Caenorhabditis elegans: one gene and its partner. The protein of the gene in region 1 interacts with the protein of each later gene in a pairwise test. Each region holds a gene or a part of one and is shown in the gene's direction. Other genes may lie near its edges. The genes, in order: asd-2 and exc-7.

Evidence for each region.
Region 2: the proteins of asd-2 (region 1) and exc-7 interact in a two-hybrid assay, tested with the Caenorhabditis elegans proteins (2 studies listed by BioGRID).

The regions. Positions count from the first base shown.
Region 1 is NC_003279.8:6,889,061-6,893,916, reverse strand, and holds the start of asd-2 (K Homology domain-containing protein), read left to right. Parts: upstream 1-1,773; 5' UTR 1,774-1,831; intron 1,832-2,394; exon of another isoform or gene 2,395-2,471; coding exon of another isoform or gene 2,472-2,504; intron 2,505-2,550; coding exon of another isoform or gene 2,551-2,813; intron 2,814-2,857; coding exon of another isoform or gene 2,858-3,168; intron 3,169-3,213; coding exon of another isoform or gene 3,214-3,359; intron 3,360-3,405; coding exon of another isoform or gene 3,406-3,532; intron 3,533-3,582; coding exon of another isoform or gene 3,583-3,821; intron 3,822-3,864; coding exon of another isoform or gene 3,865-3,956; intron 3,957-4,002; coding exon of another isoform or gene 4,003-4,663; exon of another isoform or gene 4,664-4,715; intron 4,716-4,856. Other genes in the region: C48B6.4 (Tyrosine-protein phosphatase domain-containing protein), read right to left, coding at 2,472-2,504, 2,551-2,813, 2,858-3,168, 3,214-3,359, 3,406-3,532, 3,583-3,821, 3,865-3,956, 4,003-4,663. UniProt on the Caenorhabditis elegans protein: RNA-binding protein that binds to the 5'-NACUAAY-N(1,20)-UAAY-3' consensus sequence in pre-mRNA introns to promote alternative splicing.
Region 2 is NC_003280.10:9,574,160-9,582,065, forward strand, and holds exc-7 (RRM domain-containing protein), read left to right. Parts: upstream 1-1,811; 5' UTR 1,812-2,148; coding exon 2,149-2,208; intron 2,209-4,129; coding exon 4,130-4,307; intron 4,308-5,033; coding exon 5,034-5,137; intron 5,138-5,640; coding exon 5,641-5,794; intron 5,795-5,902; coding exon 5,903-6,194; intron 6,195-6,288; coding exon 6,289-6,712; intron 6,713-6,760; coding exon 6,761-6,919; 3' UTR 6,920-7,376; downstream 7,377-7,906. Other genes in the region: Membrane-associated tyrosine- and threonine-specific cdc2-inhibitory kinase wee-1.1, read right to left, coding at 7,806-7,906.

The DNA.
Region 1 (4,856 bases):
CGAGTTCCCATTCAAGTTAATCATTTTCACAAATTTAACTCAACTAGATGATCAACTCAACATCTCTCCAGATACCTGTCACTAGAAATTATATCGTTCTGTTTCCTTTCACCATTTTCTTGCCTTCCGCTTTCATTTTTTCCTCATAAAACGAATCATGGGAACCCCGAAAAGATAGTGTTGATTGAACGGAGACGGATGATGGAAAAAGAAGAAAATACGCGCGCACACATGTTGTCAGTGATGGCTTTCCAGTGATTTTCCAATTTTTATTCGCGTGTGTTCTATATTGAGCTGCTCATCGAATGGATAAGTGTTTATTCTCTAATTACATTCGGATTGTTTTCCATATTGAACATAGTTAGTTACCGAAGAGATTATCTTCTCATCAAGTCTTTGCAATTAATGATATTTTCTAGAAAGGTTTTTTGCGGCGTCCATTTTTTCAAATTCTTGACGGAAATCCGACATTTAGAGCCAATCAATTGAGACAAAGTCGGGGTCCTTTAGTGCTTCCCGATGGCCTCAAATAGCAACAACTGGTGCGGAAAAGTGGGCAAAGAAGAATAAGAGGTCACCTGGCATCGTTACAACTGATCCGCCTGTCATTCTGTCCGTCTAAATCTCTCTAATCCGTAATCTATCGTCATATAAGTTTTCCTGAGCTCATCATCATGTCTTTCACTCTTTCTCTTCGTCCACTTCTCACTCATTTAAGCTTATTCCTTCTTCCTTTGCTTCTCGTTCGAATACTAAAAGAAAGGGTGTATGAAGATGATGACTATAATTAAATCTGCACGCGGCATGTATTAATTCATATTTAGTGGTGGTAGAGGACTCATAGTTTTCTTCATTCCCTCTACCGTGCAGTGAGACATTACTTTTGGAAAAATTTATTGAACTTTACAATAAATTTGAAATATGTAAAGTTGACATATATTTATACCGATACGATAGGGAAGCCAGCTTTTACGAGCACTTTTCCAGAAAACTTGTGTTTTACATCGAAAATACATTTAGCATGAATCTTTTCGCTCAAAATATTTCTGAAAATCTGAAAATGCGAACCCTAATTAATATTTAATTCGATTCGCGGATTTGCCAAATTCTCTTGTTATTCCTCGAATTTCTGGAAAACCCACATCTCGTTTTCTTTCTCTAATATAATCTTAATTCAGATTGAGCAATTCTAAACTTTCAATTTTTCCAATAAATTTTCTTAATACTCTTTACCCTTCCAATACCCTATCCAAAATACTTTCGTGTCAATTTTTCCAAGAATTATTCATATTTTTGAGGTGCAACTCTCACCCCAGTAAGAGAAGATTTTCATTTTTACACGAGGTAGCTTATAAATATCGATGAACTTATTTTTCCAAACAATCTGAGCTTCTCAAATCGAAGCAACAAGTGATATCACATTCAAAATAATTTCTGTCAATGTGGACAATTTCAGTCAGTTATTTGAAAAATACTGAAATTTAAAAAACCTTGCCATTGGAAAATATTCATTCATTGAAAGTATGCTTTCAATATTCTTGCCTCTTATTTCTTTTAGTGCCGCATTCCAACGATGACCTTCTCATTGCAATACATTTGAAAAATGAAAGTGTATGCCGACTGCCTAGGTGTTACGTAACTTGCCATCCAGCCGATTCGGTTTCTTCTCATTTGTTTATTCGCAAATAAAACACCTTATGCTTCTTAGCTCACTTTATCTTTATAGATTTTTATTAATTCAAAAATGACTCCAGTTTTAAATGTTTAATTTCCAGCCGTATTCCTGTCTTCACGCCACCCAATCGATTCTTCAAGTGCTAGGAGCTGTCAGGTAAGCTGTTATTTCTTTTAAAAATTTGTATTTAACTGTAAATAAGTAGAAAACCATTAACTTGAGAAAAGTTCTTCCAATATCCTTTCACCAATTTTATTCTCGTGTCTCGGACAATTCTATTATTCCATCATGCAAGCAATGTACCGGAAAATTGGTGCATTCATAAGGTGCATTCATAAGGCCATCCTTCAATTTCCTTTTACAAATGTTACCTTTTATTGTTTTTATTTTCGGTCCTCTTCCCCTTTACCTACTTTGTTCGGAGCTTTATAATCCTACAGTAATCTCTTAAATCTGAACCAGTTCCCATTGAATTCTTCTTTCCTCTACTTTTTAACATCGATGAATGTGGGTAACCACGGGTGTTAATATCGGGCAATAACGAAATAGTGCAGACTTCACTGGAGAGACCGTCAGAGAAATACCGACAAAGTATGTAATTATGTTCTCCTCCTTTCACCATCACTTCGATGTATTTACTTGCAAGTTTGGAGTTTGTTCACATTTTCAATTCTCCCTCTTATTCTTTTTTAAGGTCAATGCTTTCAGTTCAAAAATAATAAAGCCATATCACTTTATTAAAATTCCATAAAAATCTAGAATACCGTATTCAATATTAACTCTTTGCGTTGTTTTCTTAGGGACCATGAATCAGAAGTTGAGGATTTGACTAAAAAGGATATGGTTATAAATTCAAATAAATGAATCATTCAAACCTGACGTGATACATGCTCATTGATTATTTCGATGTTTCTAACTTTCGAATCAGTAACCTGATTCTTGACGATTTCGTGGAAATGAGTTACATTAACAACATTTTGATACTCAGACTCTCCCATCTTGAAAATCAGAAGTTGCTGTTTCTTCAGGTTCATCGATAATTGAGTCTCAATTCCGAGTCGTTTAACAGTATAAATTCCGCATGATTTCTCACTTTCACTGCCGTAGGGAAAATAGGAAGCACAGTTTGCAGTTTCTTCTGAAATTTAATTTTTTTTTGAAATCTGAGGTTTAAAATTTTACCCGGGTCTAAATCAGATATAGTGTGAATTGTTGGAATTCCTTTATGTAGAATCATTTGCCAAAAGTCTTGTGTCTGTTCTGGATCTGGACTGTTGGCATAAATTTGAATGACATTATTCAGACGGTTTTGAGATTGAATTGGATATGAGCCGAGCGATTTCTGTAGATCAAATTCCTCGGTTTCCAGTTTAACGAGATTTTCAACTTCGTCAGCTCCGCCAATTTGTCTTGATTGGCATCCAGACAGTGAGATCTGAGATGATGAAGAGGTCAGGAAACCCAAATAGCAAGATTTTTCGTAGAGAGCCTTTCTATAAAGAATGTTCGATTTTCATTTCACGGTATCGAAATCAAACCTAGCGTTGGCCGCCTGAATAGGTTGTGTCACGAAATCTGGAACACTGGATCCTTTCTTTTCAATGAGATATGAATTACGCTCCACAAGTCTATCCCGGAGAGGACTGAACTGCATTGGACCATGAAAAAGCCAGTGTTGAGTTGGCTTTAAAAATATAAGATTTATTATTTATTTTTTGATAAAAGCTTACCATATCATTCAAAAGATCTTTTCGAAGATTCTCAAACTCTTCATCTTCTTTTGTATAATCTTTTGATGGATATTCTTGAATATCTCGTTGACAGTGCCAAACAACATACCAACCATAATTTTCTGGTCTAAAAGTTAAAATCAAATCAGTATTAGTAATCTGAACACATTAACTTACACTAGTTTGCATCTTACTGCAAACTTTTGAATTTTGCAATGTCGATATGGATATTCTGGATCTGTCAATCGTCGTACAATTATCTGTCCACATTTGAGAATCTCTTGTTTATCGTCAGGAATATATTGCTTACAGTTGGCCCCTCGTTTCTCCAAAAACTTTCCAAACATTGTAATCAAGCTGATGCGATCTTTATGGCACTGAGTCCAAAAATCTTGTGTTCGAGTTGCGTCAGGGCCCTGAAAGAGTTATAGTGCATTTATTAATTATAATTTCACTTACCAGACATTCGAATTCCAACCCATGACCATTGATTGAAGACTCTACCATGTCAAACTCGTAGCTATTCAGAACTTGCTGACAGCAGGTTTTTTCTGAAATAAAATAACGATACTTGCGATGAAATAAACTGAAACTCACTATCTCTTTCATAATCCTCCTTTGTTGGAATCAATAAATTGGGCTCCGAGTCTTTGTGATTTTCATATTTTTCAAGAAGAGCATTCATATCATACTTTGGCCATCCATTTTCATCATCACTCAAATCAGTTAATAAATCATCAGCTTTACATTCAAGTTCATCAATTTCCTTCAAAATCTCTTCTTTTGGTTTTGATTTACCATAATTCCCAGGAATTCTTCCATGTTCGAGTTCGAAAAGTTCCTTTGGTGTAAGCATGGTTTTACGCTGTTTCAAAAATTCTCGATAGTTTTCCGAGCATACAAGTTCCCTTATATTGGAATGAGTTACATCAATTCCCTGATTGGCAAGATATAACAATGGATCAAATATCGACTCAACACTATCATCACTGGATTGTATATCAAGATGTTCATCGTCAACGCCACTTCCGGTAACATCCACCTCACTTCCAGAAGACACACGTGAGACTTCGGAGACATCACGAGAGATTCTTGAATCGGGAATCGATTCTTCGCATGTTTCTGGAATGACCGGCACTTCCAATATGAAATCTTGAGACTTTGCAACAACGGCGGGACCAGATTCAATATCGACTTTTGTATAATATCGATCCGCTGGTGGCGAGATTTTCGCCTTTTTTGATGATTTTGCACCCATTTTGTGCAAGTTGGAAGACTTCAAAACTCGTAGAAGTTTAAAATGATTGTCTTCGCAAGATTTTATAATCGTGGTTTATTGATCTTCCCTTGTGTACGTTGAAATCAATAATTATGTTTTCAAATGTTTTCACGTCAAAAATGGATTCGTTTTCAAGAATGTTCATATTTTCTGAATATTATCATTCAGTCTT
Region 2 (7,906 bases), on another chromosome or scaffold:
TTTAAAATCATTATCATATGCATTTCATATTAAAAGTTCCTACTGGCAATTTGTATCAGTTAAAAAATCTAAATCCGATCGTGATCTCCTTCTTCTAAAGTCAAGTTTTGCAGTAAACTTTCGAAAATATCCTCCATTGACCGTGCTTTGAACTTTACAGTCTTTGAATCCGTGATTTGTGAAATCGAAAACCCCTAAATCCGAAATTCCCGAAAAGTCCAAAATCGCAAGGGTTAAATGTAGTTTGAAGTACTTAGTAGTCATTTATCTCAAACCAAAAGTCCAAATGGAAGGGCCATACCTAATTATTGGGAACGGATCGAAGGCATGAAATACTGTATCCTGTAAAAGGGCCTGAGCAATTATGAATCTCGCCGACGCGGGGGTACGTACTCTCATCCGGCCGCCCTCTCCTCTGCACCACTTTTCACACAACAATATGGGGGCCACCCCCCTCTACCTAACTAACACATAATTGAGTCCCCCTCTCTACCTATTCAGGTTTTGTTGTTCATTCAACTGTGCGTGTCGTGTGTATTTGTATGGGGTGGGACGAGAGGCGGTGAAGAAGAGGACTAATGGAAAACCACAATTGAAGAGTGCGTTTCATCGTCGATCACCGTTTCTATGGTAGTTATTTTGAGATGACAATGATGTCGATTTTTTTTATTGTTTCCTAGCATTCCATAGTGACCAATTGCCAAAGTTTTGTGCTTAGACAGGTTTTGGGATATTCTCAAGATCAGCGGAATCCTTTTTTTTTGTTGCAAAATTGCAGAAGCATTTGGATATTTTCTTGACTAGATGGTGCAAACTTGCGATGGAGTGTTTCCAGTTCAAGAAAACTGGAATCGGAGCAAGTAACAGGGTTACTGTAGAATGGTTGATGGTATTCTATAGGTTTATTTAACTCGTTCTTTCGTAGCCCCTACGTTTCTTTAAAAATTCAAACTTCCCAGAGCCACAAAATTTCCACCGGGCTTCACGTATTCCCTCTTACCGAACACCTATTCAAATACGTGTCATCTTCAATCCTTTTCCCCTATATCCTTCACTAACCAGGTCAGTCATGTTTGATCAACCATTGTTTCCACACCTGCCCTCACAAAAATCCTCAATCATGATGCGCTCTTATTCTTTTTTCTATGATGTTGGAAATTATGAAATTCAGCTTTCACACTGTATTCTTGTAATGTCTGGACCCTCACTATACACTTATTCAAGCCGTAATTGGCGTGTATACGTATCCATATAATGTGTCAAGTTCACCTGTTTCCTTCATTTCCGTCTGAGCACATGATCCAAAATCTTATACAACTGAATTCCTTTATATAGATTGTGGAAAGTTTCCTGCAATTTCTAGTAGTTCTTGTTTCCTAGTCTTTCGGCTTCTTATCTGCCTTTTTAAAACTTTACCTACCTCATAATCCGTACAGTTCCCATTTTACCTGTTACACACATACACAGGTATTTAGAAACTAAGCATCATACCAGCAATAATAAAAACAATAAATGTTCTTTTCATTGGCAATGAGATATATTCATGCGTCTATGTAAACCAATAACAAAGCTAATTAGAATTGAAAACAACAGGGAATTGAGTGGCAGAGTATAGGTATGTCATGCTGTGCGCTGCCATAATTCTGCAGCTTCAGTTGAGTGGAGTAGGATTGTGAAAAATCATGGTGTACAACTAGTTCTGTAAAGTTTCACTGATATTAAACGTTTTCCATTTACTTTTATTTCACTTCTATTTTTCTTGCTCTCTGATATGTTTTTTTAAATTAATTATCAAACCTATGAAATTACAGATCCATCTCCCCTAGTCTCGGCCGGCCCAAAACGAACGGAGCATATACGGGGAGCCGCGGCACACAAACATACACAAAATATAAATAGGCCACGCCCATTTGTGCATATTTCTACATATATCCTCGCGACGGGCCCCCCGCCCCCCTGAGCCCCTTTTCCTCTTCCTTCTCTTTGCTCTCACAACAACCGGAGCTCTTTCTTTTTGAAAAGAGCCCTCTTTTGTTTCCTGACAGACCAAGTGGAAGAAGTGGTGGTGTGTCAACTTCAGAAGACAACGAACGACGCATTTTTGGATAGGAAATTCGAATTTTTGAATTCCAAAATTCGGTCTTCAAAATGACGATGGAAGCGTTGCTAACACCGAATAACAACAATGTTCCGACGAGTCCCGTTCAGGTAATTTTTTTTTTCAATTTTTATTAGGAAAGATCTATATGAAAGTCCAGAAGCAGTAGAAAAAAAAAACAAAAATAAATACGGTTTTCAAAATCTTTGAACATTGAGGTCTACAAAAAGTCCAGAAATCTACTCGACTGTAACATTTCATATTTTGGTTGCCTAAGATTTTATCAACAAAAATTCAACTAATAAAATATAGAACCATAGCAAAGATACACATTTTAAAAGTAGAACAGTAAACTGCGGTAATTTTGAAGAGCTGTAAGTTTGTTACAGGTTCTAACTGTGAATGGTTTTTTTATTAGTTAAATTAAAAGTTTAAAAAAAGCTTTTAGAACCTGATCATGACAGTTGTTTAAAATTCGGACTAGGTAAACTGGATGCTTAGGCTCCGTTCAGATCTAAAAGCTAAACAAATTGTTGAGCCTTGAATTCTAGTAATAACCATAAATCTGAATATTGTTTCTTCCCCAATGTCCAATCCGTCAGTGAGCCCGAGTCCAAACTTGGTATACATGCGTGTGCATTTGACGTGTCATTCTTTCAAGAAAGCTTCCCAATTCCCAAATGCCAATTTTTCAAAATCCGAGAAGCCTTCTTCCTTACTCTTCTTCTCTTTTCTCCGCCTTTCCGAACCACTCCTTTTCGAAAATACGTCCCATTCATTACGCCTTGAGGGAGGAATGAGGGAGGAATAAGGACCAAAAATAAAAATATTTGTTTTGTGAAAGAGCTCAGAAGCTCAGATTCCTGCGTGCTCATCCACCTATATTATGATGATGTGTTGTGGTGTTGGTGGATGGGAGTGGAAATGACATGAAAATTAAAATATGGAGAGAAAAATTGAAAAATAACAAGAGAATACTAGATTTTTAGATTTCCTGTTGAAAATTGTTTTCTTTTTTTCTAAAAAGTTTTTTGATTATTGAAAAAATATAGCTGAATTAACAATATCATAATTGTGCAATATATGACTAATGAAATTGGTAGAAACGAAGTTTTTTTTTTAATTTAAATTTCTAGAGGTACTATATATATGGAATATTCTAAAACTCAGCGATTTTCTTCAGTTTTTTTGAAGTGTTTCTTCAAAAAATTGATAGAAGACCTATAAATTAAAATTTAAAAACTTTTAAAATTTTGTGAAAATTCAATTCGAAATCTACTAGAATTTATATCACAGTTTTGCTAAATTACGTTCCTCCTCAATACCGGACGGTTCAAAATTTTATTTCTATAAAACGCATATGGAACTCTTTAATCAAAGATCCTATAAAAAACTCTTAAAGTCTATTCATTCCAACAGCGTAGAAAAAAACGTTTGCATATATTTCATTTCATACATTATTCCCTCTCAAATACCCATGGGTATTGTTGCTCTTCCAGTGAGCACACCAGGAGGTGGGAAGAACATGCGGGGGGCTCCATCTCTTCCATATAGACTTGCTCACGCACAGGAAATTTGAGACGTGGCCAAATAATGGACAGCGAAATGGATGAATTCTCCGGTTACTTGTACCGAAGAGCCCTCCCGCGCGCGAGAAAAGAATTGAAATTGAAAATTGAGATCTCCCGGTGGAATGAAAGATTGGAAATCATAGGGGAAATATTTTTGGGTCAGATGTAACCTCCAAAAATGGAATATATAGTCAGATTGGACAAAGATGGCAGAAAAACATAATAATTTATTTATTCCCAAATGAAAAAAATGAACAATTTCCGGGGTTACCGACGCTTCTCACCAATGCTAGGCACCCGAAAATATACGAGGTGTATTATTTATGTAAATTGACAAAAACGGGACTTCTATCTAGGGAGTTCAGAATTTTTTACATCTGAAAATCGTAGATTTTCATTCGAAAAACCGGGACCATTATACAAAAATCGCTTTTAAATTTTAAATTTATATTTTTTGCAGACAACCTACACAAGTACACAACGATACTGCTCCGCGCCAAATGTGGATATTGGAGAATCAAAAACAAATTTAATTATCAATTATCTGCCACAAGGAATGACACAAGAAGAAGTTCGGTCCCTTTTCACATCGATCGGAGAAATTGAATCTTGTAAATTGGTCAGAGATAAAGTAACAGGTGAGGAGGAACTTCTATATTATTCATTATTTTATTTTAAACTTATATATTTTCGAAATCCAAACATTATCTAGCTAGATCACCCCTTGCCTTATCATTTTTATTTCTGACTGATTTTTGATTCCCAACCACGAATTGAGTTGCTCTAACCGTTTTTTGTGTCTCGCCGAAAAAGTTTAGCATGAAACTAGATTTTGACGCCTCTTTTCTGATAGATCACAAATAATTTTATTTTCTTCTTTCGGATCGATTTTTGTAAATCTGTACATGTGTGCGTGTGTGATTGCTGCTGCCCCGCCCGCCCTACTCCCCCTAAAGTTTTTCATTTTTCGGTTATTACTTTTTTCCGTGATGTTCTGATATTCGTTTCAACTTTTCATTATTTTTTTCAAAATCACTCACACACACACACAATTGTACACCAAGAATTCACATTCACTTTTTGTGCTAAACATTTTTGAATAGGGATTGTTAAAATTCTAAAGTTGTGATATCTAAATACTTTTTTGGAATAGTTTCATACCATTAAATCATGTGAACTAATTTAGAATAAGCAGCAAACTGTTTGTAGCAAAAAGATGTAGGGAGATTATTTTTCAGAAAGAGAGCTCTACAAATACAATCAGAAAATCTAAACCCGTAACCTATAAATAATTGTTCTTTTGTTATATTTTCACACTCTTTCTCTCTCTTCTCTCTTCGGCATTTGGTGTTTTTTCATTTCAGGACAGTCCCTTGGTTACGGTTTTGTTAATTACGTCCGAGAAGAGGATGCTCTTCGTGCAGTCAGCTCATTCAATGGCCTACGATTGCAGAATAAGACGATCAAGGTGTCAACTTTTTTTTTTTTTTTTCGGAAAAATATTATTATTTTTAGTTGATTTACATGCTACTTGTCTTTTACTTTACTTTCACTCTTTTTTATTTTCAAAAAAAGTTTTTAATTTTTCAATTGTTTGGGTGTTCCTTTGACTATTAGAAAACACCCCCTTGCTCCTGTTGTGCAATTTTTGTTTTAAGTTTTCAATCTTTTTATTTTAATATTTTAATTTCAAAATTTAATTTCAACTTTAATTTCGCGAAACCCCTTTCCCGATTTATAATGATTTTAGCTTCTAAATGTGTGTCTAAACGTCCGTTAAACGTCTCACGTCTTTCAAACAATCACTAATAGGAGCAATAGATGTGCACAAAACGCTTAGAAAATGTTTAATTATATTTTTACTTGAAAATTCGCATTCTTCATATATGTAAAAGAAAAACATTCACTGGTAAAAATACAAAGTTAAATTTTAGAATATTAAAATTGTAATCTATAACTTGAAATTTTCAGGTATCATATGCCCGTCCATCAAATGATCAAATCAAAGGTTCAAACTTATATGTTTCTGGAATTCCAAAATCGATGACTCTGCACGAATTGGAATCGATTTTTCGGCCATTTGGACAGATTATCACATCTCGAATATTGTCAGATAATGTAACTGGTGTGTTTTTAAAATTATGTGAAATGTGTAAATTTTCAAAATTAAGAAAAATATAGTTGATTGTTTACGGAATATAATTTGTTTCATTTTTTATTAGAGCTATTTCAGGACTCTCAAAAGGCGTTGGATTTGTACGTTTCGACAAAAAAGACGAAGCTGATGTTGCAATTAAAACACTAAATGGAAGTATTCCATCAGGATGTTCAGAGCAAATCACAGTGAAATTCGCAAATAATCCAGCAAGTAACAATCCGAAAGGACTGCTGAGTGATCTGGAAGCCGTACAGCAAGCCGCCACAACACTGGTACCATTGAGCACAATTCTTGGAGCACCGACGCTGAGAGCAACTGCTGGAGGAATCGGACCGATGCACCATGCTCCAATTACTTCAAAGTACAGGTAAGCCCGAAGAAATCTTGATTGATAATAATTGTATTTTCAAGTTTGTATATTCTTCTTTTTACATTTTCAAGACCAATTTCCAATATTTCAGATATTCCCCAATGGGCGCCATCACTGCAGTATCCCAGCCAACCGCTACACTTCCTGCTGACTATTTGACAACTTCTGCGCTTCTTCAGATGTCTCAGTTGAATGCTCTTGCTGGCCTGAACCCTTTTGCCACAGCAACAGCCGTACCTGATTTCACAGCTTCATTAATAGCGCATCAGCAACAACAACACGCAGTTGCTCAACAACATGCTGCACAAACAGCGAGCCCTCCGGCAACAAATGGACAAGTTGCTGGATTAGCAGCTCATGCTCAGTTATCTGCATTGTCAGCTTCAGTTGCTGCCACGTTACCGCCATCAGATACTGCTGGATATTGCCTTTTCGTATATAATCTTTCATCAGATACTGATGATACACTGTTATGGCAGTTATTCTCACAGTTTGGAGCAATTGTTAATGTTAAGGTAAGCAAGAAATTTTAAATGGAAAATTTTTTACTTGAAATATTTGAGATTCTACGAGACCTGACACAACAGTGCAAAGGATATGCATTTGTATCGATGAGCAACTACACAGAAGCCTATAATGCAATGCTTTCTCTGAATGGCACAAATTTGGCTGGAAAGACGCTTCAAGTAGTTTTCAAGTCATCAACTCCATATCGAGCTTAAACTTTTTTGCAAAAATATTCTAATTTCAATCATTCCAGTCACTTGTCTCCCATTCTCTTTTCATTTTCTTCTTCTTCCCCAACCAAAGAAATTGTGATTTTCCCCCTCTGAAATTCCAGTCACTTTTTGTGTGCTACTAGTCACCCCCCCCCCCCCCCCATTGTGTTCCATCCCCTTTCATGAGCAACTGTGAGCAAAACCAATCGAATTCCGGTAACGAAATAAGCCACGCCCCTTGAGAATAATGAGCTTCTGCCCACCCCTGTCCCAAAACCTTGAATCAGCTTTAACATCTTCAAAACTTTTATCAATTTTACCTAAAATATGCCAAATCCTCCGTCACTTTTCAGTATTTCGTACAGTTTTCTGATTTTTATACTGGGTTCCTTGTTTTTCTTTTACAAAGATTTTTTGAAATATTAAAACTAAAATGTGTATAATAAAAATTGTATACCAATTTCAGTGATAAATAATTTATTTTATAGAAAAAAGAAGAACAAAGCTGATGATTAAAACTGAACTCGATTTTCTGATTGGAAGAACTTGTACCAATCGATGATATGAGATGTTAAAAACTGGAATTGATATTTAACCGATTGAACCTGAATGAAAAACAACGGACCTGAAAATTAAATTATTATTTTAAATTGACATTTTGAAAATTTCCCCCGTAATTTTATTGCAATTTTAATTGAAAGTTTATTAATTGTGAAATGTGCTTTTTAAGATGTTGCAAACACCTAATTACTATTTTCACTTTTGAGATATGTTAATTTCTAAATAACTTTTTTTTAATTTCCTAATTTTAATTTTCAAAAGTCAAAATAACAAACGAATTTTATAAAAGAAAAAAGAGCAAACTTACCTGTTAACTTACATTCCCTTCCTATTCATCAAATAAATTTTTCCGTTGGAATAACTTTTGAATCTTTCTGGGTGGACTGACTTCCGGCATTGTTTGTTGGTATCGCGATTTTTTGACAGGAG